Linked DNA regions of Drosophila melanogaster. The protein of the gene in region 3 interacts with the protein of the main gene of each other region in a pairwise test. Each region holds a gene or a part of one and is shown on either strand. Other genes may lie near its edges.

Region 1 (6,993 bases), on a different chromosome or scaffold from region 3:
CATCCGCAGCAGTTCCAGCAGCAGTAACAATTAAAAATAAAAAATAAAAAAAATGGCAAATTTCCTTCGGTTAGCAAATGATTCTTCGCAATTTTTTTAAAAATCACTTACCATCTCGCTTATTATTTTGTATTAAAATTACGATTATGATGATAATGGATCGTGGCGACAAAGATGTCCGCACATGTTTCCAAAGCTTATTATTTTTAATATTATTGATTGCCTAGGCAAGTTTAGTTCGTAGGTATACACTTAATTGATAATACTTATTTTTTTTTTTCATAATTGTATACACACACACACACACACACACACCTATGCTTAGAGTTGTTAACTAATTTAAAAACAAAAAAGGAGAAAACCCCAACAAAAAAAAAAAAAAGAACAAACTAAAGAAAATCGAAACAAAATCAATTCAAGAAATCCAACCGCAAGGGAACGTCTCAGTCCAAATTGTCGGTACACGAATTCTTATTTTATTTGATTAACCAAAAGAAAATGTTATTAAAAATGTAGTCCGATCCCCATTCCCAAATCATCATCCTACGGACCGCTATGAGCAAATTCAATGAAATCTTATTGTTTTTCGATTTTAATTCGGCACATCACCCATGCACCTGTAATTTATACACACGCAAAAGGAACACCCACACACGCACACACACACACCCACACCTACACCTACACCCAAACACGCCGGCAGACACTGGGAAGAAATCCAGCACGATCCGCAGAATCAGAACCACAAACCAATAATATGGATACAAATGTAGTTAATAAGTCACAACAACCACGACATTTTTGTATATGCCAATGACGCGCCTAAACAAAAAAAAAAATGAAAACAAAAAAAAAAGAATGAAAAGTAATCCGAAATTGCTTTCTAATGACCAGAAGCCTTCGCAAGTAGGTGCCAGGATGCAGGATGCTATCCCCCAAATTGCAGTGACAATTCAGTAAATTAATGATACATGTTTGGAGTCTCTGCCGTCTTCCACCATGTGTATTCTTCGTCTACATCTTCACCCCCACCATCTGCATGCATCCAATCCTCCTTGTCAATGTGTCCTTGTATATAGATCCATGGGTCCTTCCAGATCATCTTTCCATCGGGGACTCTGATCCTGAAATAGCAGTAGGATTTATGATAGCAACTATCTGTGTCGAATCTAACCAAATCTGTAACTGTATCATGCACCTTTTTTTTTATGTATATTTGGGGTTCTGATTTCTATTTATTCTGTGCGTGAGCCTGTGTGTGCCCTGCAGTTGCATTCACCGATCCATTTTCATCGATGAATCACCGCTCAATTTGTTTTCAAAGAGCGATGAATTGTGGAACTGCAGGGTGTGGTTGAGATTAGGGATGCGTGTTTGTCTTTGTATATAGAGGCGGTCAATAGGTTCGTGTCTTTCCCCGGCTTACACTCGCAGCAAATTTCGTTTTGTTTGTGTAAATTAGTTTTTTTTTTTCGAAAGCGAGTAAAGAACAGAAAAAAAGATCACAAAACAACCCTTATTCTATATAAAGAACATATATATATATATATACAAAAATATATATATTTAAATACGAAAAATGTTGTATCTAGTAATACATATACAAAAATGAGAAACATTTTTTTTCTATACTTAATTTTAGCATTTAATTGAGAATAATTCGCACGAGGAGATAAACGTGAAATGTATGAAAATAAAAATTGGGAAAACCAAACGATTCAAACAAAAGAAGTTTTTAATTCAGTCAATATATATATATAAACAGGAACATATATATAGTAAAACCTCTATATATAGCGACATCCCTATATTTGCATATATGAATATAACACCAACATATATATATATATATATATATATTTTAACATCACCCGACGACAGAACAAGACGCATTTGATTTTGTCCAATCTGATCGAATCGCCCAAGTTCTAGCAGATGCATTTGGCATACTAGCATATAATTGTTGACCTTTTGTTGTTACCTAACGAGGGCATTAACTAGAAGACGATGATGATGATAAGGCGTAGTATAGCAAGATAGAAAGATAGAAAGATAGCCTGATAGCAGGATGGCTGGATAGCTGGATAGGATGGGTCAAGTGGAGTCGAGTCGAGGAGTATGTACCATATAGCAAAAAAAAAAAAAAAAAAAAAAAAACTCACTAAAGAATCACTTTTCTGAAACGTAAAAGCAAACGATCTTAGCCTTAAGCGCCTACCGCTAAACAGAATAACTTTAAAGCAACGTTACGTGTGGCACGTAATGCAGGAACTAATAATACTATTATTAATAATAATAATATTAACTATTACGATTATGAAGCAGAAAATCAAGGGGGAAACTAGTTTTCGCTGGCAGAAAGGGTGGATATAGAAACCATTACATTAACATACATGACATCATTTTGGCCCCTTTAGCATTCTCTAGATATACAAATACAAGAATTCTTAGTAAGCCTATTATTAATGGAGGAGAGCGTGTAAGCAGAAAATGCGAAGGAAACCAATTAACAAGTAAAACGTAAAACATAAAACATATTTTACCTTTAATGCGTACACTTAGTATTAATGAAATGGCCGACAAAAGCAAAAAACTATAAGAAATGAGACAAAAAATAAATAAAAAGGAAAAAAACAAAAAACTAAAGAAAACAGAGAAAATTTGCAAAAAAAAAAAAAAATAATAAAAAAAATAAACAAAAATTCATAAAAAAAAAAACAAACAATAGTGTGTTCTTATTTCATCGAAATTGTAATCGAATCGTTATCAATAGTGCCTTTTTCTATATTTATATATATTTTTACATATGCACAGTAATCAATGGATTGATTATTATTGTTTATTATTGTTTATTATTATTTTGTTTATCTCGAACCTCAGCTGAAATAATCGCAAAAGGGTCGCAACCTGCCAGCAATCACAAATCGTGCGATAAGAAGGTTATCTGCAGCATCAGCACCTTTCTGGGGGCTATAAAAAAGTGATCGCCACCGAATGGGGCGATCAGTTTGACTTTTGAATTCGTCGCGATGTTTTCGATTAACGCCGTGATCCTGGGCATTTTGGTTACTTCCGTTATGGCCCAGGATGCAAGGGGAACGTGTGAACTGAGCATCGGTTCTCCGGCTCCGGTTGTTATTAGCAATTTTGGCTCCCAGCGTTTATTGTTCGATTCCGTGCGAAAATTAGAACGGGAAAATTACCAGACCATTGACCTTTTCTGCGCGAGCGGATTTTCCATAGACTATTACAAGTACTGTTTGATTATCTTCTACTCGCATTTGCTGATGATTTGCTTTCAGCTATTACAACAACCAGATCTCGACTACAATCAAAGCGACTAAACTTACAATGACCTGCGACCCTATTCATCGGTTTACCTATAAAGATGGCATAAAAGATGTAATTAGTGTTCGGTGTCTGGAGGTCGGCCCTCAGTTGTTTGAGAGCATGAACAAATTGCCAAATTGCACGGGCATGACTCTAGTTGTCGGAAGAAAATTCGATGGCATTGGTTTAATAAAATATTCAGCATTGTGCTATGATTTGGCCGCATTTCAATTGAAATATATTGGTTATACCACAAATTTCAATAATATCCAGATTTTCCCAGAGGTGGGTTGTGTTAACTTTTTGAGCAATATTATATATTGTTATATATTCACGTATTTTGTTTTTTTTTTTTTTTTGTTCCATATACATACATGTGTAGACCCAATTGGGACAACTTAACGATATCGGACTTGATACTCCTATCAGTTACCAAAAAAATCTATTCGAGACCATCAGGTAGGTGCAATAAGGAGGTTGCGCTATTCCTGTGATTAGAGGAGTGGCTCTTTGATTAAAATCATAATTAACATAATATCAATTCGAGCAGCAAGAGTGAACTTGATGCGTACTTGGCAAAGGAGAAGCAGTTGTTCACGGAGGACACTTTTCAGGTTGGCAGTTTGGTCCAGGATGAGATGGTTAGTAGACACTTGGTTGTCTACGAGGACTTGCTGACCACCGTCTGGTTGGAGGTTCTGCGTTCCGGCAACTGGAAGCATTGGACGAAGGCAATGCGTGATGCCATCGGTGTCCACTTCGACATTCGTTTGGGTGTTTCCGGAACCGTGAAGCTGCCGACGTTCGCCGGGCAATCATGCAACGGAAGCCGATCGCTCAACATTGAACTGATTGGTGGCAAATTCCTGCCCATTCCCGCCCACATTTGGGCCCATGTTCACGCTGTGGAAAAGTCCGGTACCGGACAGGATGAGTTCGTCATCATTGGACACAACTCGCCCTTCGTGCGTAAATGCCATTGAATGTGTTATGCTCAGAAATATTCAATCCTTTCGATCTTGCAGTATCGCAGTGACTTAAGCAATCTGTGCCCCTCGATGTGCAACCAAGTGTCCTGGCTGAGGAACACCCTCTTCTCCAGACTCCACGAGTTTCCCGCCTTTGGAATGGTGCAGTGCTGCCGTGTGGAGGATGTGGCCCACAAACTGGACAATTTTCCCGGTCCCTTTGAGAATGAAAATATGAATGTCAGCAGGACAACCGAGGCTACCACAATATAAACAGTTCCCTTTATATTATCCCTCTGTTCCAACAAATATGGGACTCTTTGTGTACATGCAATTTGTATAAAGCGCCTTTTAATGCATTAAAATGCATTTAATGCAATAATACTTGTCTATATAATCAGCCCGTATTGCTTTGTATCCGTATACGATCCTTAATTCCAGTAATAAAGTCACAATTTGCGCATATTTGAATCTTTAAATATTATGTCAGTCTTCGACTAGCTCTTGTCGAACGCGGATGTAAAATCTTCTATTCTCTCTGAGAACATTTTGGTGTACATTAAATATTTTCTGTTTTCTTCTTTAATTGTGATATTCGCAAAAAACTACAATCAAACGTTCAAGTGATGCAATTGGCGATGCTGAAGCATCTGCCGTTGAAAAAATGCGTACTAAAAGGAATAAACCACTAGTGGAGCGCCAGAACGAACGGGGCTCCAAGCAATTTACAAATTATTTTCGTCCACTACAAACTTTAGACGATGATAATGATGATAAACCTATTGAAACGGACACACTTGATGAAATAATAATCAAACCACCTCCTATAACATTAATTAAACAAAATACAAAATTTGTACACGAGCTAATGGCTAAAATTAAAACTGATGATTACTTTATTAAAACCATCTCAATTGGAATTAAAATATTTTTACCAAATATGGACTGTTTCAATGCAGCTTGTAACCAACTCAAGGAACATAACTGTGAGTTCTACACGTACGATACTAGATCAAACAAGCCATACAAAGCCATTTTATCCGGGCTGGATAAACTACCAATTGAAACTGTCAAATCCATGCTACAAAACCTAGGATTACAATGCACCGAAGTCAAAATTGTGGAAAAGAAAACTAAGTCTGATCATGAATTATTACTGTACATTGTTTATTTCGTAAACAAAAGTATCACAGTAAAGGAACTGCGCAAAAACTTTATGTATGTCAACCACACTAAAGTACGCTGGGAGTATAAAGTGAAATTGCAGAATAAAATTACTCAATGCTACAATTGCCAACTATTTGGACATGGATCAAATAATTGTTCAGTTAAAACATCATGTGCCCATTGTGCTGGATCACACCAGACTGCCGTATGTATGGACGTAAACAACAAAAAATGCGCTAACTGTAAAGGCGACCATCCATCGACAGAACTGACATGCCCATGCCGAATTTCTTATCTCAATTTACTTTCCAAACGCTCATCACAACGCATTGGAAGAAATAACTTGGAAGCTCATGGAATGAGGAATTCTAAGCAACACATCGCTCCATCTGCTCTCTTTGGAAATCAACCCCAGATCTCATTGCCTACTCAAACTAAGAGAGTGCAACAACTCAACTTTGGTAGCTATAGTAATGCACTCACCAATATTCATACTTTGCCTAATCCCAAAGCAAATATCACAAATGAAACTAATCTCTTTTCATGTGAAGAGATAAATTCTCTTTTGTCTGAATTAATAACAAGACTTAATGAATGCTCCAATAAGGGAGAGCAATTTCAAGTAATTTCTCAGTTAGCGATTAAGTATGTTTACACAAACAAATAATTTTATTGATAATTTGAATATTATGGCATGGAATGCTCGTGCCGTTAGAAACAAACGTATAGAACTGATCAAGTTCTTAGAAAATAATCACATTCACATAGCACTTATAAATGAAACGTGGCTGACTCATAGTGACCGTTTTAATATACCCGAATACACTATATACAGAAATGACAGGAAGGAAAGTAGGGGAGGCGGCGTTGCCATTGCAGTTAGTAACACATTGATACATGAACAAATACCCTGCATTAAAAGTCATGTTATTGAAAATGTAGGTATACAAATCAACACTGACTCTAATTCCAGTCTAAAAATTTACTCTATTTACTTTGCTGGAAATACTTCAAAATGTATTCCTAGTTCATGTGATTTATCTTGGGACCATAATCATTTAAAAAGTTTGTATAGATCTGATCTCCTTAAGATCTCACAAATAAATGGAAATTTTCTAATTTGCGGGGACTTCAACTCGCGCCACAGAGCATGGAAGTGTACCCGAGCCAATGGTTGGGGCAAAATTCTCAATGAACTTTCAGATCTGGGAAAATTCAGTATTTTGTACCCTACGCAACCCACATATATTCCGCATAACCATAAAGCAAAAGCATCAACATTGGACCTATGCCTCACTAATATCCCTAACCAGCTGGCTAATCCAGCAGTAATGCAAGAGCTTTCCTCTGATCACCTACCAGTGGTTATTAAATACTCTACAAATTTTATGCGCAATGTAAAAACATATCCGATTTTGGGAAGGGCAAATTGGGCGCTTTTTAAGAGAATTATAAATGAAAGGCTGATGGTTGAAGAGGTGGTTGTCAACTGCTCACAGATATCGACTTTGGATATTGATAATTTAAT
Region 2 (6,858 bases), on a different chromosome or scaffold from region 3:
GGCAAGAGGGCCATATTTCCGATGCACTCACTTACTGAGCTCCAAGAGGAAGACACGGGTCGCTTGGTGCAACTGAGAGAGAACTGCAGCATGTTGCACAAATGGCGCAACTTGTAAGACTGGTGCTTGTTTACAAGAATATATTGCATTACTTATATTTTAACTTATATTTTTAGCGAAGGCACTTTACCCCATATGACTTGCAAACTGTGCAATCAGTTGTTGGAATCGGTTCCCCAGCTCCGTTTGCATCTCCTGACCATATTGCATCGTGATCGTGAAAAGCAAATCGACTATTGCAACCAATAAGAATGGTTACATCGTTTAATATGAAAACAGCTGATTTTGAACTTTTTGATTTCTCATTTCTTTTCTTAAAGGACACACTTCACTTGTTTGGTTTAAAAAAATGACGTATTCATGGAATGAAAACAAGTTTTGAATTGAATCTAAACCTACAGAAATCTTCATTACGTTAAATATTTTCTATGTTATGTTGAATGATCTCTCTTCGTTCAATTACGAAGTGTAAAATGTGAAATATAATTTTTTGTTAATTACATCTTTAAAGATATCATTAAATACGAAGACAGCTATACTAACCAGTTCATTACAAGCAAAAATCCATAAACTGCTTGCTGTTTATAAAAATCAAAGCCCTGGGGCGTGCATGTTCTCCCTTTTTGGGCTCTTTTTTTTATTTTAGATTAAACTCACACATTATATTTATGCAACTACAACTACATCGGAGGAATTCTGCAGCGGCACAGGAGTTGGAGTGTTTGCCTCCAGCTCGCAGATCGTATAATTCTGCATGCGGTTTAGGGGCTTGCTGCACAGCCCACACATCTGGTGCTTATACACGCCGTATATCTCGAAATTCAGGATGTTGTACAGATCGAACTGGATGGTGGAGGACAGCTGCGTACACTCCACAATTAAAATATTTTGCTCGTTAAGTTCCACGCTGAAAGGGCATATGGCGTTTATAAAATTGTATATAAAAGCTAAAAAGCATTCTTACCGGAAGTCGTAGTCACTAGTCTCAATTGGCCATTGATATGGCTTTTTGCGCACGTTGTGCGGTGTTTGATCCTGGTTAAGATATATGAGCACTGGTTCATCCGTGGGCAGGCTGCTGTTGTCTGTGCGGGCGCGGAAGTTGAAGTAGTTTTGCCCGATATGGACTCGTAATCCATAGTTGGTGGACAGTCCTTGAACAGGCGAAGGCGTAACAAACACTGCAATCTGTGGCAATGGCGAACAGTCAGCCACCAGCAGCGTGAGACAGTCGGGACGCACCGCAATCTCTCTGAGATTGATTAGGTAATCATCGAAGGTATTGACTATGCCATTGATTACTGAGCAGGAGCGCTTAAGTCCTGAGTCGAAGGTAAGCTCGTGGGAAGCGTCGAACTTCGAGTCCAGCTTGTAGAAGAAGGGGATCTGATGGAAACGCCACTTCACTCCGTTGACCTCCACAGCCAGCCTGAACTGGTCCTGAGGAGTTTGCATTGATATATTTATCTCCTGGCTCATATGCAGACTGTCCACCTTGTCGGCGGATAAGGCGGACACTAAGTGGTCCAGTCGATTCGACCACAGCTCGAACCAGGCGGGCATCTTAAAAAATATAAAGGTGAGTTGATTGGTCTTTTATATATCTTTTCGGAGCGGAAAGTAATTTGATATATCTGATATACTTACATTGTCAAACTTCAGGTCCATGTCGTATTGTGTGATCGAGGTGAAGTTCTCAAAGTTGCTACGCTTGCAATACCTGGAAGTGGGTATGGGCGAGAACTTCAGTACCTCCTTGGGACAGAAGTCGGTGTCCGTCAGCGAGATCTTGTCGGAGCGGAGGAAGGCACGGGCATGCTCCGAGGGCTGGCGAGATGAAAACGTTGGGTTAAAAGAGAATCCACTTCGGGCTTATGTACACTTACACCAGCTCTAGCTGCAAACTGCACCGTGGAACCCTTCTCCGGGCACTCGCTCTCCTCGGTGGCCAGGCCAAACACCACATCGCCATTCAGAGTGTGAGGTCGCTTGGTAAACACCAGCGGTTCATAGGTCAACTTGGTGCAGGCCTAAGGAAAATTATGCAAATGAGTGAGAAAATCCTGTATCCTTAAGTGAAACACCATGTGTTTTTTTTAATGCTTTTTAAAATAAACCTAAAATCTGTCAACTTGATTTTCCAATTATGAAATATGGAATACAATTTAATTTCCTAGCCGGTGGTTCTTCACACAGTATGTCCCAGTAGGTCAATAGCCAGCTATGCTCGGCACGAGTCAAGTGCTCCTTTTGGGTGGCGGGTGTGACACCCTGTAAGTATTATGTAGTTACACTGCTTTCCTCAAGCGTGGAGGCAAGAAAATGTGGGGTTCAGCTGTTCGCTGAAGCTCCAGGCGAGTGGAGTGGGCCACATTACCATGACGAAACAGCAGACAACGGAGCCACAACAACTGCAGCAACGATTAGCGAACCCACACACATCCTGACTGTATGATTGTATGGCCCTCTTCCGCCCCACCGTTCGTGCCTGCGTGCCACCTTACTACACACACACACACACACGCAACCCATCCTTTCAAGCACTCAAGCAGTCGCCGCAATTGTTGGCCCACATTCGTGGGTTGTTTGCGTCCCGGAATCGAGACCGAGAACCGAGTCTGGCAACCGGACTAGAGTAAAGCAGGCCTGGCGGTGTAAGTAGCCCCGTTTGATCAATACGACTCGGTGGGAGCTCAGTAGAAGGCATCCAGTTACGCTACTGTTCAGACGAATTTCTCCTGTCGTAAATTTGTTTTGGGAAAAAATTACATTTTCTTTTATTTTGTAAGAACGCTGTAAAAATCTGGAAAAAAGACCCAGTGCTCTCGACCTATTTTATTTCGGTACCGCCATCGGGAGCATTCAGTTGCGTTGCTTTTATAAATTTATGTTTACTTGATTCTCGGTCGGACAAACTGCAAAATGACTTCGGTAAGTGATATATAAGAAGCATAATAGATATGGATTCTTATGTAGCCACTTTACCTGCTTCTCCAGATCGAGTCAAAACGCGTCCAATATCGAAAGTATTTGGAACGCGCCGGAGTCATCGATGCCTTAAGCAAGGCTCTGATTAAGCTTTACGAAGAGCAGAATAAGCCGGAGGATGCCATTCGCTTTGTACGCAAGTTTATGTGCGAGAGCTGCCCGGACGATGCCCAGTACGATGTAATGAAGAACGACCTCGAGGAGGCCAAGACCCACATCTCGAAACTGGAGCAGGAGCTTGAACGGCTACGCGGACAAATGTGAGTTTCTAAGATCGCGTCTTGTCTGTCCAGTCTTGATTTAGATTCTATTTACACTCAATAGCAAAAAGTCACCGGAGGAGTACCAGGAGCTCACTACTGAGGGCTACAAATCGCTCATGGATGATGAGGAGAACGTGAGCTCACTGCTGCGCAAATACCTGACTCCGGAATTGCTGGAGGAGTACATGCTGGTCACCACACCTGCGCCGGTGGATGCCTACCTATACGATTGCGCCGTCTCCGGATTCGAGCACCACGACGCGCCCGTGGGCATTTTCGCGGCAGATGCTGACAGCTATGACGTGTTCAACAAACTCTTTGATCCGATCATAAAGGACTATCATGGCCAGATGGACAACGAGAACGATGTGCTGCAGAAAGACCCAGACTTTGGCAACGTGGACGAGATCGAGAACTTGGATCCGGAGCGCAAGTACATTCTGTCCGCACGAATCAGATTGGCTCGCAATATCGAAGGTCTGCCCTTCTTCCCCAAACTGACCGAGAAGCAATTCATAGAGGTGGAGGAGAAGGTGCGTTCGGCCACGGAGACAATGGATGGCGAGCTGATTGGCTCCTATCTGACAATGGCGGACATCGATGCTGAGACCCAGGCGGAGATGGTCAAGAGACATATATTATTCCAGCGCGGCGATGAGAAGCTGACCACAGCCGGCTGCTATCGTTTCTGGCCAACTGGTCGTGGTGTCTACCACAATCCCGCCGAGACCTTCTTGATCTGGGTGAATCGCCAGGACCATGTGCACATTATGTCCATGGCACAGTGCGGCGACTTGGGCGATGTTTACAATCGCCTTGTCAACGGTCTAACCGAACTGGAGAAGACGTTGGCCTTTGCCCGGCATCCGCGTTATGGAAACCTTACGGCTTGCCCCACCAATTTGGGCACCACCCTGCGGGCTTCGGTGCACATCCGTCTGCCGCTACTCAGCAAGGACCCCGATCGTCTACTCGCCCTCGCCGAGGAACAGCAGCTGCAGGTACGCGGCACCGATGGCGGCGAGCTGTCCACCGTGGAAGATGGTGTCATGGACATATCAAATAAGAGGAAGCTTGGTTTCACCGAGTTCGAACTGGTCAAAACTCTGCAGGATGGCGTTGTGACCCTGATTAACGCAGAGGAAGAGCTCGAAATATCCGGACAGGAGGGTTAGAAACAAATAGCCAATACTTAAAAACCTTGTAAAGCAATTAATATCACTATAAAGTACTCACGAACACTCACAGACGAACACTTAGAGAAACAGGAGAAACGTATCTTTGGTTAAATAAATTTGTCCCTAGCCACAGACAATCACTCACCTTCCAGTCGTCCTCGTCATCCTTTGAATTTCGCTGAACCTGGCCGGTCAGCTTGAACCAATTGGACTTGGTCGATGCCAGCACGTCCAGGGTAATGTTCCATCTATGAAGTGCATCCGCAGCATGATTTTCGTTCATGTGGTCCGTGTGCTCCAATGTAAGGCCGATCTGCTTGCCTTTCATGTCCGACGTTTTCAAAACGTCTTCGGCACAAAAGTTACCTTCGATCTGAACGAAAATTGGTTTTAGCTTTAAATATTGTTAAATATTTAATTTTATTTCTCACCCTGGTGTTCTTCTCGTTGTACATAAGCATGGTAAAGTTGCGATCGTGGCCCAGGTGTATGGAACTTAGCTGGGTGAAGCCAAATATGTACATCAAAGCATTGACCACCATATTGCCGGAGAACCCACTGGAAGTGAAGTGATTAGCTGAGTAGCAAATCGGTTTCGAAATTCAAAAATTACTTCTCCGTGAACTCGGACTTTAGCAGCATCCCCCTGTACTTGATGAGCTCGTTGAGATTGGTGGTCATGCTCAGTCGGACGCCCAAATCCGTCATTGGGTAGCTAAATAGTTGAACCTGCGAGCTTGACTTTATTATTATTCTTAATTTTACCCATTTTCAGATGCTTAAAGTAGTTAATTAAATTTAGTTAATTTATTTCATATATTTTGGTATTATTTTTCTCAACAAAACACTTACCACATCGTTCCGACCCTCGGGCACCATGATCTCTTCGAAGGGCGCCGCCGCTGTCTTCGTGATCAAACCCCTGGTCTTGGTCACCGCCCGCGACTTGAAGGACAGGCCACTGGTCAGGTTTTGGGGTCGGGAGAAGGAGTAGCGCCTGCACTTACTGCCACTCTCGTTCAGATGCAGTTCGCTGCTAAAGGGGATGTAGATGAGGAAGCCCTGCTCCCGGTTGATCTCGTGATCGAGGTTGAGGAACGGATTGTAGCTACGACTCCGCACCGAGGCGTATGAAGAGTATCGGGCATCGATTTCCAGCGTGTGCTTGGTTATGGGCGAGTTCCGCTGCTCTGTTATATTACCACGCAACGAGGTTAGTACGGTGGTCTGCAGCAGGACGTCGGAGGAGGTTCCCAGCACCGTGGGCACCGTGTAGCGATTCATGAAAGGCCAACGAACAGTCTGCATGTTTATGTGACTGTCTGTCCGAATGATTTGCTGCATTCTTTCCAGAACTGTGGAAAACGGGCATGAACCGCACATGGCTGATGGTCAAGAGGTCAATGTACTCACTGTTGTCGTAGGTCAGCTGCCGGAACATCCGCTGGTTGAGGTAGTACGACAGCACCGTCTTGCCCTCCATTTGCAGGATGAACTCCAGATGCAGGTCCTTCGAGTTGATGATCGGAGCCTGCAGCATGGCCAATAGAGCCTTGATGCTCTTAAAGGTAAAAGGATCGCTGCCATTTCGCGATTGCATCTTGTTCAGGATGGTATCTGGCAGCCCACGTGCCTTGATGTATAGCTGGAAGAAGTAGAGATGGCTTATTTGATTCTTGAAACACCGAGAGGTTGTACTTACCGCCAGTTGTCCTGTGAATTTGCCTAGAGCTTCGGTGTCGAATTTGAAGAAGGCCACCACTGGCATGTCCGACTTTGGATCGCCCACGAGGAATACCTGAAGCATTGCACCGATGCCGAACTTGGAGTCGCGATAGTCAAAGATGTAGTTACCGGTGACCCAGTAGCGTGACTCGGGCTTCTGGGGCAGATGACGATGCATGTAGGACAACAGACGGCGTCTAAATGAAGGATATACGACATCTGTGGATGGCTGTGAATTAGGCTGAGTTAGATGACTTACAGGTGCTGATAGCAGGGATATGTTGTCTCCGAGATGCTCGTCACCGTCGTCCGGTAGTAGTTAATCATGTGAGGGTCCGTCTCGCTCTGAATGATGCGATGGATGCTGATGAGACGGGCGGCCGTGGGGTTGGAAATCAATAGCAGCGTAACCGCTGCCACACGAAGTTCTAGGCTGGCATTTCGGGACTCAAAGATTGGCCAGTAGACCTCGTATATGCGCTCCGCTCGACGATCGGCCAGTGCCAGGGTCGTCCAGGCGGCCTGGAACTTCAGATCCTCGTGCTCGTTGGGGTCCTGAACAATGGGCTCCAGATAGTTGGCCACGTTCCCCAATTGCAAGTTGTTTAGACCCTGCAGATACAACATCTTCTGGTCGAAGTCGC
Region 3 (9,648 bases):
ATACCTATGTTTATAAGCCGCACGCATTTACATAACTTGGGTGTATAAACACTTATACAAAAAAGTCCAAGAGTATGCAGCAAAAAATGGAATGCAAGTAGTTCGACTTTTCCAACCGCCAGAGGGCGCCTGTCATCCATCCTCTCACTTTTTGCAGCCATTAATTGATTTTCTGTTTACGCATAGCCCCACATTTGGGGCGCAGATGGAGGTGGGCACCAAAGTTCCCTAGTCTGATGCTTCCGGTTACTTCTTGTTATTATATTTCATTTGCCATACAACTTTGTTGTGATGCCTGATTCCAACATGTCGTGAATAATCCAGCAACGCAGGTTAAAACCGGAAGGATTTAAGGCAAGGCTAGCGGATTTAATACCCAGTGAGTAAGTTGGGGCTAAGTTCAAAGATCTATCTGCTTTCAGAAGTGAAAAATAAACATATGTCTTAGGTTCGGCATAAGATATTCAGCAAAAATAGATATTTTATTAAAAAAAATTAAAGAGCTTCTGAGCTGGATTAATCTTTTTGCTCTAGTAATGGGTATGCGAGAAGTTTGCACTGCAACTTTTGCGATATTTCTGCTGGGCGGAAAGCCAGAGCTGGGATGCCTTCTGCAGAAGGCGCAGTAGGGGCAGGAAGTCCGGCGGAGAGGAGGCACATGCCAACACTTGTTTTCTGTTAAGTGATTTAGGCCAAACTTTTGCACCCTCCCCTCGCTGTGTGCCATTCGCGCTTTTGGCATTTCGGGCTTAGACGTAGACGTAGACGAGGGGCGCCTGATGGGTTCCTTCCCCGATGTTGCAGGTCCTTGTGTTGCGGTTCCGCCGTGGCTCGGTTATTTTGTGAAGCATCGGAAATGTTTTGCAAAACTTTCGCGAAAGCGAGCGAATTCAACGAGAAGCGTTTAAATGCTTGCCGCATAATCGCCGTCAAGTGAATTTCATTTTCTTGACAAACAACATGAACTTCAAAGGAACTTGGCCAAAAAAACCCTCTTTTGAGTGGCTCAAAGGAAATTGAAATTGTTAACTGTGTGCGGGAAACTAGAAAAAAAGTGCCAAACTGGTTTACAGACTGTCACGCATTGATGTATTGCGTTCCTCGTTTTCCGGGATTTTGGATTGATGACTCTGATACGCTTGTGCCTCCTAGTTAATGCCATTTAAACAATGGATTATACAGTGTATTATATTAAACAACCATACCAAGTATAGTAAATACCCACAATTATTTGTTCAACGCAACGTTTTGACATCGTAATCGACATTACCTGCGCATATTTATCCCGTTTGGATTGCACATGATATTCCACCGAATTCCCTGCGAGGCAACTGACAAGTTTAGTTACTTTACTTCTATCTGACAGCATTAAAACTGTCTCCTCGAATTCTGACTTGCTGGAAGAATTTCCCGGCCAAAGTTTGTCTGGGTAACCATATTACATGGATAACACCCACAAAACACTAGCAACATCACCGGCAGAAGGAGCAAAAGGATCAGGATGAGGAGCAGGCGGAGCAGCAGCACGCGAGAAATGTTTCGTGACAAAGAATTCCAAGAGTTAAAAAATAAAATGAGGTAGAGAAAATAAAAATAAAATAAAACAGAGGGAAACCGCTGAAAACGAAGAAAATTGAGCTGGGTAAGAAAAACGTTTGCGAGACATAGTAAAGCGTGGCAAGTAGGAGAAACTTTGAAGTTTTATTAAAAATACACACCGCAACATTCCTCAAGAACTTTCGCACACGAAAACGTGAGATAATTTACTAGAAGCGAGCCGGACGAGGCAACTCCACTCCGTTCCCTTGCAGGTGGGAATGTGGAAATGTAGGAAAAGTGGAAAAGCGCACCCGAAAACCGGCAGCGAAGTGTCAAGTAGTTTGGATAAACTTTTGTGACAGCTCAATTTGGATGGGAAAATGTGTGTAAGCCGGCACTCCAGCCAAGCTGCTCCTTTTGCCAAAAGCAAAATATTAGAATATTAATAGCCAGCCAGCTTTGCAGGGACATCTAATGAGCGGAAGTCCTCCTTTGCCGCACACCAAAGTCCAAGGACTTTCTCTCTGACATGGGTCCTCATACAAAGCGGGGAACTTAAGTCGCAAACTTCGGTCAACAAATGAGAAAATGAAAGGAGCTCATTGCTTGGACGCTAATCTGTTTTATAAGCAGATATAGCGAAACTAGTCACTTTAATACTTAAATACTTTAATTAAAGGAAAGGCAACTCACTCTCTCTCTCGAAGGACAAGAACGTCAGCGTTGATGTGATATATTATTAATAATTTACACAGTATTGTTTAGGAGTGACCCAGATCAATTCGTCTATATACCAACGTGCTGAGCACAATGTAGAACAATGGGGAAACACCTTCGTAGGTAAAGTTAAACACAGCTGCAGAACGCAAGGATCCACAAACATGCACTTAACTAACCAGTTCCGCCCAGCCTTCCGATTTCCATCGCTCCACTTTGCCGGGCAAATGAACAAGATGTTGTGGTTATGGAAATTAGCTCAGGAGGATGACAAACACTGTGCGTGCCGAGATTTATGCCCCGATGTTGCCCGAAACTACTTCAGATGCAACTACAACGGACACATCCTGCGAAACGGGAGCACCGATTCAGGACGACAGCAAAGACAGAGACACATGGCCTGTGGTGACAGGCAGGATGATGTCAACCGGAGAGCAAACCCTCTGGCTAATTGGTATTTATTGCTGCTTAAATGCCCAAAACTTGTTGATACTTTTCACCTCGTATTTCAGACACTCATTCATCCAGCCAGCCACTCGAAGTGAAACGCCCCCAAGATGGAGGAATCACCACCGGCGCAGGAGGAGCAGCAACCAATCGCAGATCGCCGGTCTATAATTAGGCGCAGAATCGATAGACTCGCTCGACGATCGCGGGCAGGCACATATGTTCATATGTTTCGGATTGGATTCTTCTGGGGAATGGTGGATGGGGGATGGGAGATGGGGGATGGGCATGGGATCTGGCGAAGCACTCTTTCGATTTTGAGGCTAATTTCAGTGGGCACACGACTTTGGCACGGTTTAGTATCGTCGCGACAATTATCGTAATTAACTCGTTTATGTGTTGTGTGCTAATCCAATTACCAAGTTCGCACAGGATGCCCCCATTTGCGGCAGGCGAACATAACACAAATTGCACAAATTAATTCAATCAATCGGACACATTAAGAATTGAGTTTAAAATTCGAAAAAATCAATTCTATTATCTTGAGTTCAGTTTGTTGTTCAGTTAATACAGCCCAAAGTTAAGAGTTCAACCTTTAAGTAAAACTCGAGACGGATATCCTAAACATGCTTAACTACCAGCAGCAATTGCATTCGCTGCCCGTCGGTAATCCGGGAAATTTTTACTACGGACCGACGGTTTCCGGCGAGATATACTCATCTCACCAATCGCACAACCTGGAGTCCGAGGACAAGCTGGAGGATCGGGAAGAAAGTGGCAGGAACCTGGATAAAATTCACAGATTCTCCGTGGACAATATCATGGAAATGAAACACGACGCCTATTCCAAGGGAAAAATGGCCATGGAACTCAGTAGCAACTTCGGTGAGTTCAAATGGAACAATCTTGTGCTTATAGTGCAGATAAATAAAAAATTCTGTGAGTGAAATGTGAAAACTTGCAATAAAAGCAAAACAAATCAATCAATCTGCTTTGAATTATAGATAGTTAGGTAAATTTTTGCATATTAAAACGAAAGAAAGTCGAGATAAACGACTATCACATACCCATTACTCAGGTCAGGCAAGTGCAATGTTATGTTGGAATGTTATTGCATTTTCATTCAAAGTCAAAGGCTTTCATGGCTGAATTAGACCATGAAAACCAAAATGAATACTGTTTTTATTATTTTCTATCAAAAATATTCATCACTCTCGAAATGTAATTAATCTGGGTGTGGAGCACTGGTTCATTTAATTTTAAAAGCCTCTTAAATGGCATAGTTCACAGATGTGCTCAATTATGTGCAACAGAATACGTAATGCCACAGGAGTTTAGTTACATCTGCATTTGAGTTCTGCAACTTTATGAGGCTTACTGTGCCTAATTCATAAATGATAGATTCGTGCGAGTTGCGGGCCAAGAGAACTTATGACGTTATTCGCACAGCTGCCATATCTTTAGATATGCACAAATAGGTGCTACCGTATATGCGGTGGGAGAATTCATATAAATGTGCGGGGGCCGTGGGGCAACTCATGGATGACAATTAGGTGCCAGATGTGGGCGACATTCGCTCATTTCGCTGCTCCCAATGCCGCTGCAATGTCATCTCCGTGCATTTTTCCTGTTGCGGTTGCGGCTTTAACCCCTCCGTGCCCCCAGTGCCCCATAGTCTGCGCATTAACCGACCGGGAGAAAGCTGTCAACATATTGCTACTGGTTGGCAGCTCTGGCATAATTTGCAGCGCTATCCTTGCCGAAAACGAAGATCCCACCGAAAAACGCAGAGGAACCGAAACTCTGGCAGTTCGTGTAAAGTTCTTCCCGTGCTTATATTTTTTTTTGGATTTCTATCCGTGGCAGAGGAAACATTTCCGAGCCGACAACACTTCAACATTGTCAACATGACAAAACGTAATCAAAGCTGACATGATATTCCCTCAGTGGCCGCATGCCTTTGAAGCATCCGAGGCAGCGACTAGCTGCCACGACTATAATTTCCAAGTGGAGCATATAAAACGCCAGTCCCACTGTAACCAGTCCCAGACGCAGCACGCACTCCACTGCCACTACTCCTAGCCCCGCCCCCCCCCCCTCACCCCTCGTTTATTTTCGTCGCTCCATCGGATTGTAACATGTGCCAGTAGCATCCAGGCACTGTAAGAAAAACAGTTTACCTGCCACTTAAAAAATCGAATCTATCTGTTATGCTCATAGATTAAAAGGCGAGGTGAACTTTGTTCACTTTATAATATGATTCGATAACATTTTATTGGAAATATGCAAAGGTACTCCCTTTTAACAATGATTTATTTGTTGTAGCAAGTAGTTCATGCAGTGCCCCAACCCCCATTGATTTCTCACAGTGCAACTGCTCAGTCATTCTTCACCCCTTGCCGTTGCCGCTCTGAAAATCTGATTGAGGTTTCCCTTTCGATTTGTTGGTTTTTTATTAAGCCGCAACTGTTTTTTATCGCTCGTTGGCAATTCAAATTAAAGATCTTCCCTTCACTCAGTGCCCCAAACTCCCCTTCCCATCCCCTGGGACATCAGTTGCCGATGCAGTTGCTCCCGTTTCCCACTATTCCGTGTACTTGGAGTGCTCCGAGCTGATCTACGATGCAGTTCCCAACTCCGTGGACAGCTCGGCTGACAAATTGAGACAAATGGCGTGGGTAGGAGGATATCTGATGGCGATGGGGATACTCACGGCGATGGCCACCCTGAAATTCCAGCAGGCTGCGAGGCGGAGAAATCAGAAGCAATTTATCGATACAAGACTAAAAACTGAAACTCGAAGGAGAGTGTAATACTCACTACAGCCCATGCAGCCATGCAAAATAAAACCATATAATATAATAATATAATGATCTCATTTTAGTTTTTTCCTCCGGCTTTTAGCTGAAATGCTTAATTTTTTCCCTAGCATTCCGTCCAATTAGTTTGAAAATAGATAAATTCGAAGGAAAACGGCTTAAGTCTTTTGTAAATCGGTTTTCAAGCCAATTCTATGGAAAATCAATTAATGGTCGCCTGAAGCAGGGAGCCCGCTTATGACCGCTTAATGTCACAATTTCACTTTAATTAATAGATCGTAAATGCGCTAGCTCATGTTTGTTGGGCGACGAAATTAGTAGACAGCTGTCCGCCGATGTCGTCAAAAGATATTTTATGGCTCATGCCATTTGTTTATGACCCCCCCTCCCACTCCCTAAAGCCCCAAAGTCCCCACTCCACTCCTTTCGTGGCCCCCAGCCGACGGATCAAACGGAATGCAAAATTTTATGTGTTCACGACAAGCCATAAAAGTAAATTTCCTAGCTGGCTGCCAAATTAATTGATATCCGTTGGCTCTTATCGATTATTTACGAGCGTTTTTCACCTCAGTCCGTCAAAGAGATTTTTCATTCGACCCTCGGGAAAAGGAAAACGCAAAAGTAAAAGTGAAAGTGAAAATTCCCAATTTAATGGCTCCCTGATTGCAGGCCCCACTGGCGCAGGATGCGGTGGCGCAGATCGGCCAGCTCCCTGCTCCGGAAATCTGCCGGCGGGTGGTGGCCACCACTCGAGGAAGCCGCGCCGGAATCGCACCACCTTCAGCTCCGCCCAATTGACGGCCTTGGAGAAGGTCTTCGAACGCACTCACTATCCGGATGCCTTTGTTCGCGAGGAGCTGGCCACCAAGGTGCATCTGAGCGAGGCCAGAGTTCAGGTGGGTTTTAATTGCATTGGTAAGCTTCGATGATACCTGTTTAAATATTAAGTGTTCACCTAATAGAAAGCCACACCGTATCCCATTGTGTTGCACATACATTCCAGCAGCTATCTGCTAACTTAGTTAACAATCCATTGCAGCTAATTCCCCTATCAATTACTTGGACGCCCGTTTCAGGTCTGGTTTCAGAATCGGCGTGCGAAATTCCGGCGGAACGAACGGAGCGTGGGCTCCAGGACACTTCTGGATACGGCTCCTCAGTTGGTGCCGGCGCCGATTAGCAATAATATGCACAAATATGCCAATATGCCACACCCACACCCACAGCCGCCACCGCCCCCCGGCGCATACGCCCTCAACTTTGGGCCGCTGGAGCTGCGCTCGTGCCAGAACTATACGAACTGCTACGGGGGATTTGGATCGAGTGGTGCCAGCGGCAGTGGCGTCTGCTCCTTCTTTGGGGCCACCAACTATTGTGTGGCCGCCAATTATGCGAAGAACGCCTATCCGCCGCTGTGATGGCGCGGCTAGCTTTAATGGGCCCCATGAGGTTACTTCATGCATATGTATTTCAATTAGCCAAATTGCATTAATGCTTAAAAACGTATTAGGACCGGCATATTCGCCTACCTGACTAATATTTATACTTATACGATGCCGACACAGATGCAGATACATTCACAGATACAGATACAGATACAGACACAGACAGAGATACAGATACCGATACAGATGTGACGCACTGAAGGAGAAAACCCAATAAATAACATTTTCTAAGAAAACACGGGCACTGTGTGTTTGACTGGGAGCTGTGTTTATTTTTTGGAAAATCTACTGCGCTTAAGGGCCAATAAACTACAATTTGCTAGGGCACAAACTGAACTATAGAAAGATTGTAATCATAATCACGTTTGGATAACTCTTTCGATTGGATTATCTTGCGAGACACAAACAATTACCTTCTCGTCGATATGTGAAAGTTTTCCATTTACGAAACTGTCACTCAGGCGTTTGGCGATGACATGGCTTATTTAATTATTGACTTAGTAATACGATTTAATTAAAAATTCATAACCCCGCCGCACACTGGCAAAGCAGCTCGAGGCTTCCATTTGCATCTGCGAGTGTGTGTTATTTCACCCGCATGTGTTAATTTGTATAATAAAACTTAATTAAAGCGAAAACAAATAAACAAACGGGCGAGGAGTGGATAGGAAAGCTGTGGAGAGAAGAGGCGAGGGGCACAAACAGCAAGCAGCAAGGGAAAACTTTTGCCTAGCCGCAAATGTTGGAAAAGCGAAGCCACAATCAAAGTGGATTAAGATTGTGGAAATCTCGGTTTTCTAGGGCAATTAAAAGTACAGATTGCCATTCGGGGCACAATAGAATGTGCAGCAGTGCTCTCAAACGCATTCCCAAAAACTGGGAAAGGGGAAGTGGCCACAGAAGCATCTTCCCCGATACTCCAGATCCCGGATCCGGATGCACGGATATACGGATACGTACGGATACGTACGGATCCAGTCTAGCAGCTGGAAGGTTAACAAGTATGTAATATATTTAAATGCAAATAAAAATTCCCCTTTTCTCCGCAGGCCAAACGAGATGGGAGTGAACTGAGCAGCCGGACGAAATGCGAAATGCAAATTAACATTCGGAATGTGGAACGGTTTGTGCTGCTAATTTGCATAAAGCGTTGGCGCTTCGAGCGTAAAACATTTTTACAATATTTACGAAATTGCAATAATGTTTGAAAAGCAGAACGTCGGCGGCGATGGAAAAATGCGTTTTGTCCCTTTGTTTTTGGTTTTTTTTCTGCGATGCGGCAAATTGTTTGCCGGCAAACGGACGACATTCCTGCTGACAGGCGAACATGTTGCAGAAGTCCTCCTCGAAAGGGAAATACAAATTTATGGGCCAAACAACAGGCTCCTGTCAAATCAAATGGCAAACGGAAATACCGGAGCAAACGGCCTCCTTATGCCAGCCAAGTGCGGCATTATGGAACGGTGTATTATCCCTTTCGAAGGACACAAAGCGTTCCACTCTCCTCTCCACAGAAAGCAGCTGAGGTGAACAGTTCAAATTAATCAAGGACCCACTTTTATGTTACATGGAAACTCGCTTGCTCGTAAGAAACGTGTAGATACAATTGGATAACTGATAAATAGTTAATAAGAGTGCTAATTTAACCACCGTTAATCAGTGGATACAGCAGAGACCCCAAAGTGACGGTTGGAATCCCCCATGACGAGCTCTATAATTAGGTGATAATTTCTGTCTCTGTTAAAAAGCAATTATTTATAAGAGACCTAATGAACGGAGCATCCACGCAGATGGAGTCGCCCCCATGTGGCATAAAGTAGATGACACGGGCAACATTGTCAGATGAAAGGGAAACGCGATGCAAAGATCTTGGATGATGAAGGGGAGGATCCCGGTGACAGCTTCTTAAGTTCCATGCCGCCACGGGCACAAGATTTGTGTACCATAAACATCTTTCGGTTTGAGTCCTGTCCAAATATGCCACACGATGATGGATACATCACTCGGATCATAAAAAAGGGGCGCCATTGAAATCGAGAAGGGTAAATTAAAACTGAGGTAATAATCACACATGAAAAATACTATAAAAACGAGACTAGAAAAATGTTACAACTAAATAGATGTTAAATTCAAACTTACTAAACATAAAAAATCAAATAATCATTTAGTAATTACAGACATATAATTTTTATTTCAGCTGTCATTGGAAATTTTCCGATGATTTGGAAGCGATTTCTCCAGATGACATAGAAATTGTTTCTAGATCTCGCAAAATTTCAAATTACAACTCAAGCGAAGCGTGTCAGAACGACATGTTCGATTTGGAAGACAATTCCTTTTGCCAAATGTATAGTTTAAGAATATTGATATCTGCACATCCTTGATAAAGACTGTGGTAATCGGAACTTTGAAATCTCATCCACAAGGCCTTAAAGGCATTCATATCCCAGGAATACTAACTCCTCATGTCAGAAGATTTTCAAAAGAGATTGACTAGGATTCACATGGACCGCCTTGGACTGACTTGCTGCCTCGCAGCCGAGATGCCTTCCATTGCAGAATGGCGAACATTAGAAACGAGATGATCAGGCAGAGTACCAGAGTTGAAGTTCCCAGCAAAAGACAAGCAGTTGAGTTGGTCTGAATGACCGGATTCCCGTCGAAGTTCGTGTAGTAGTAGC

What was found.
Region 1: the proteins of CG9876 (region 3) and CG2233 interact in a two-hybrid assay, tested with the Drosophila melanogaster proteins (one large-scale study listed by BioGRID).
Region 2: the proteins of CG9876 (region 3) and CG4546 interact in a two-hybrid assay, tested with the Drosophila melanogaster proteins (one large-scale study listed by BioGRID).

What each region holds. Positions count from the first base shown.
Region 1 is NC_004354.4:8,033,522-8,040,514, reverse strand, and holds CG2233 (uncharacterized protein), read left to right. Parts: upstream 1-2,997; 5' UTR 2,998-3,029; coding exon 3,030-3,253; intron 3,254-3,302; coding exon 3,303-3,615; intron 3,616-3,712; coding exon 3,713-3,789; intron 3,790-3,880; coding exon 3,881-4,295; intron 4,296-4,355; coding exon 4,356-4,571; 3' UTR 4,572-4,774; downstream 4,775-6,993.
Region 2 is NT_033777.3:15,843,798-15,850,655, forward strand, and holds CG4546 (uncharacterized protein), read left to right. Parts: upstream 1-2,736; 5' UTR 2,737-2,982; coding exon 2,983-2,991; intron 2,992-3,057; coding exon 3,058-3,308; intron 3,309-3,372; coding exon 3,373-4,486; 3' UTR 4,487-4,634; downstream 4,635-6,858. Other genes in the region: spn-E (spindle E), read left to right, coding at 1-113, 177-309; cv-d (crossveinless d), read right to left, coding at 727-967, 1,025-1,623, 1,708-1,887, 1,947-2,090, 4,635-4,862, 4,921-5,047, 5,103-5,218, 5,342-5,844 and 3 more.
Region 3 is NT_033778.4:23,087,651-23,097,298, reverse strand, and holds CG9876 (uncharacterized protein), read left to right. Parts: upstream 1-3,032; 5' UTR 3,033-3,329; coding exon 3,330-3,588; intron 3,589-6,191; coding exon 6,192-6,418; intron 6,419-6,598; coding exon 6,599-6,940; 3' UTR 6,941-7,199; downstream 7,200-9,648. Other genes in the region: CG13538 (uncharacterized protein), read right to left, coding at 9,461-9,648.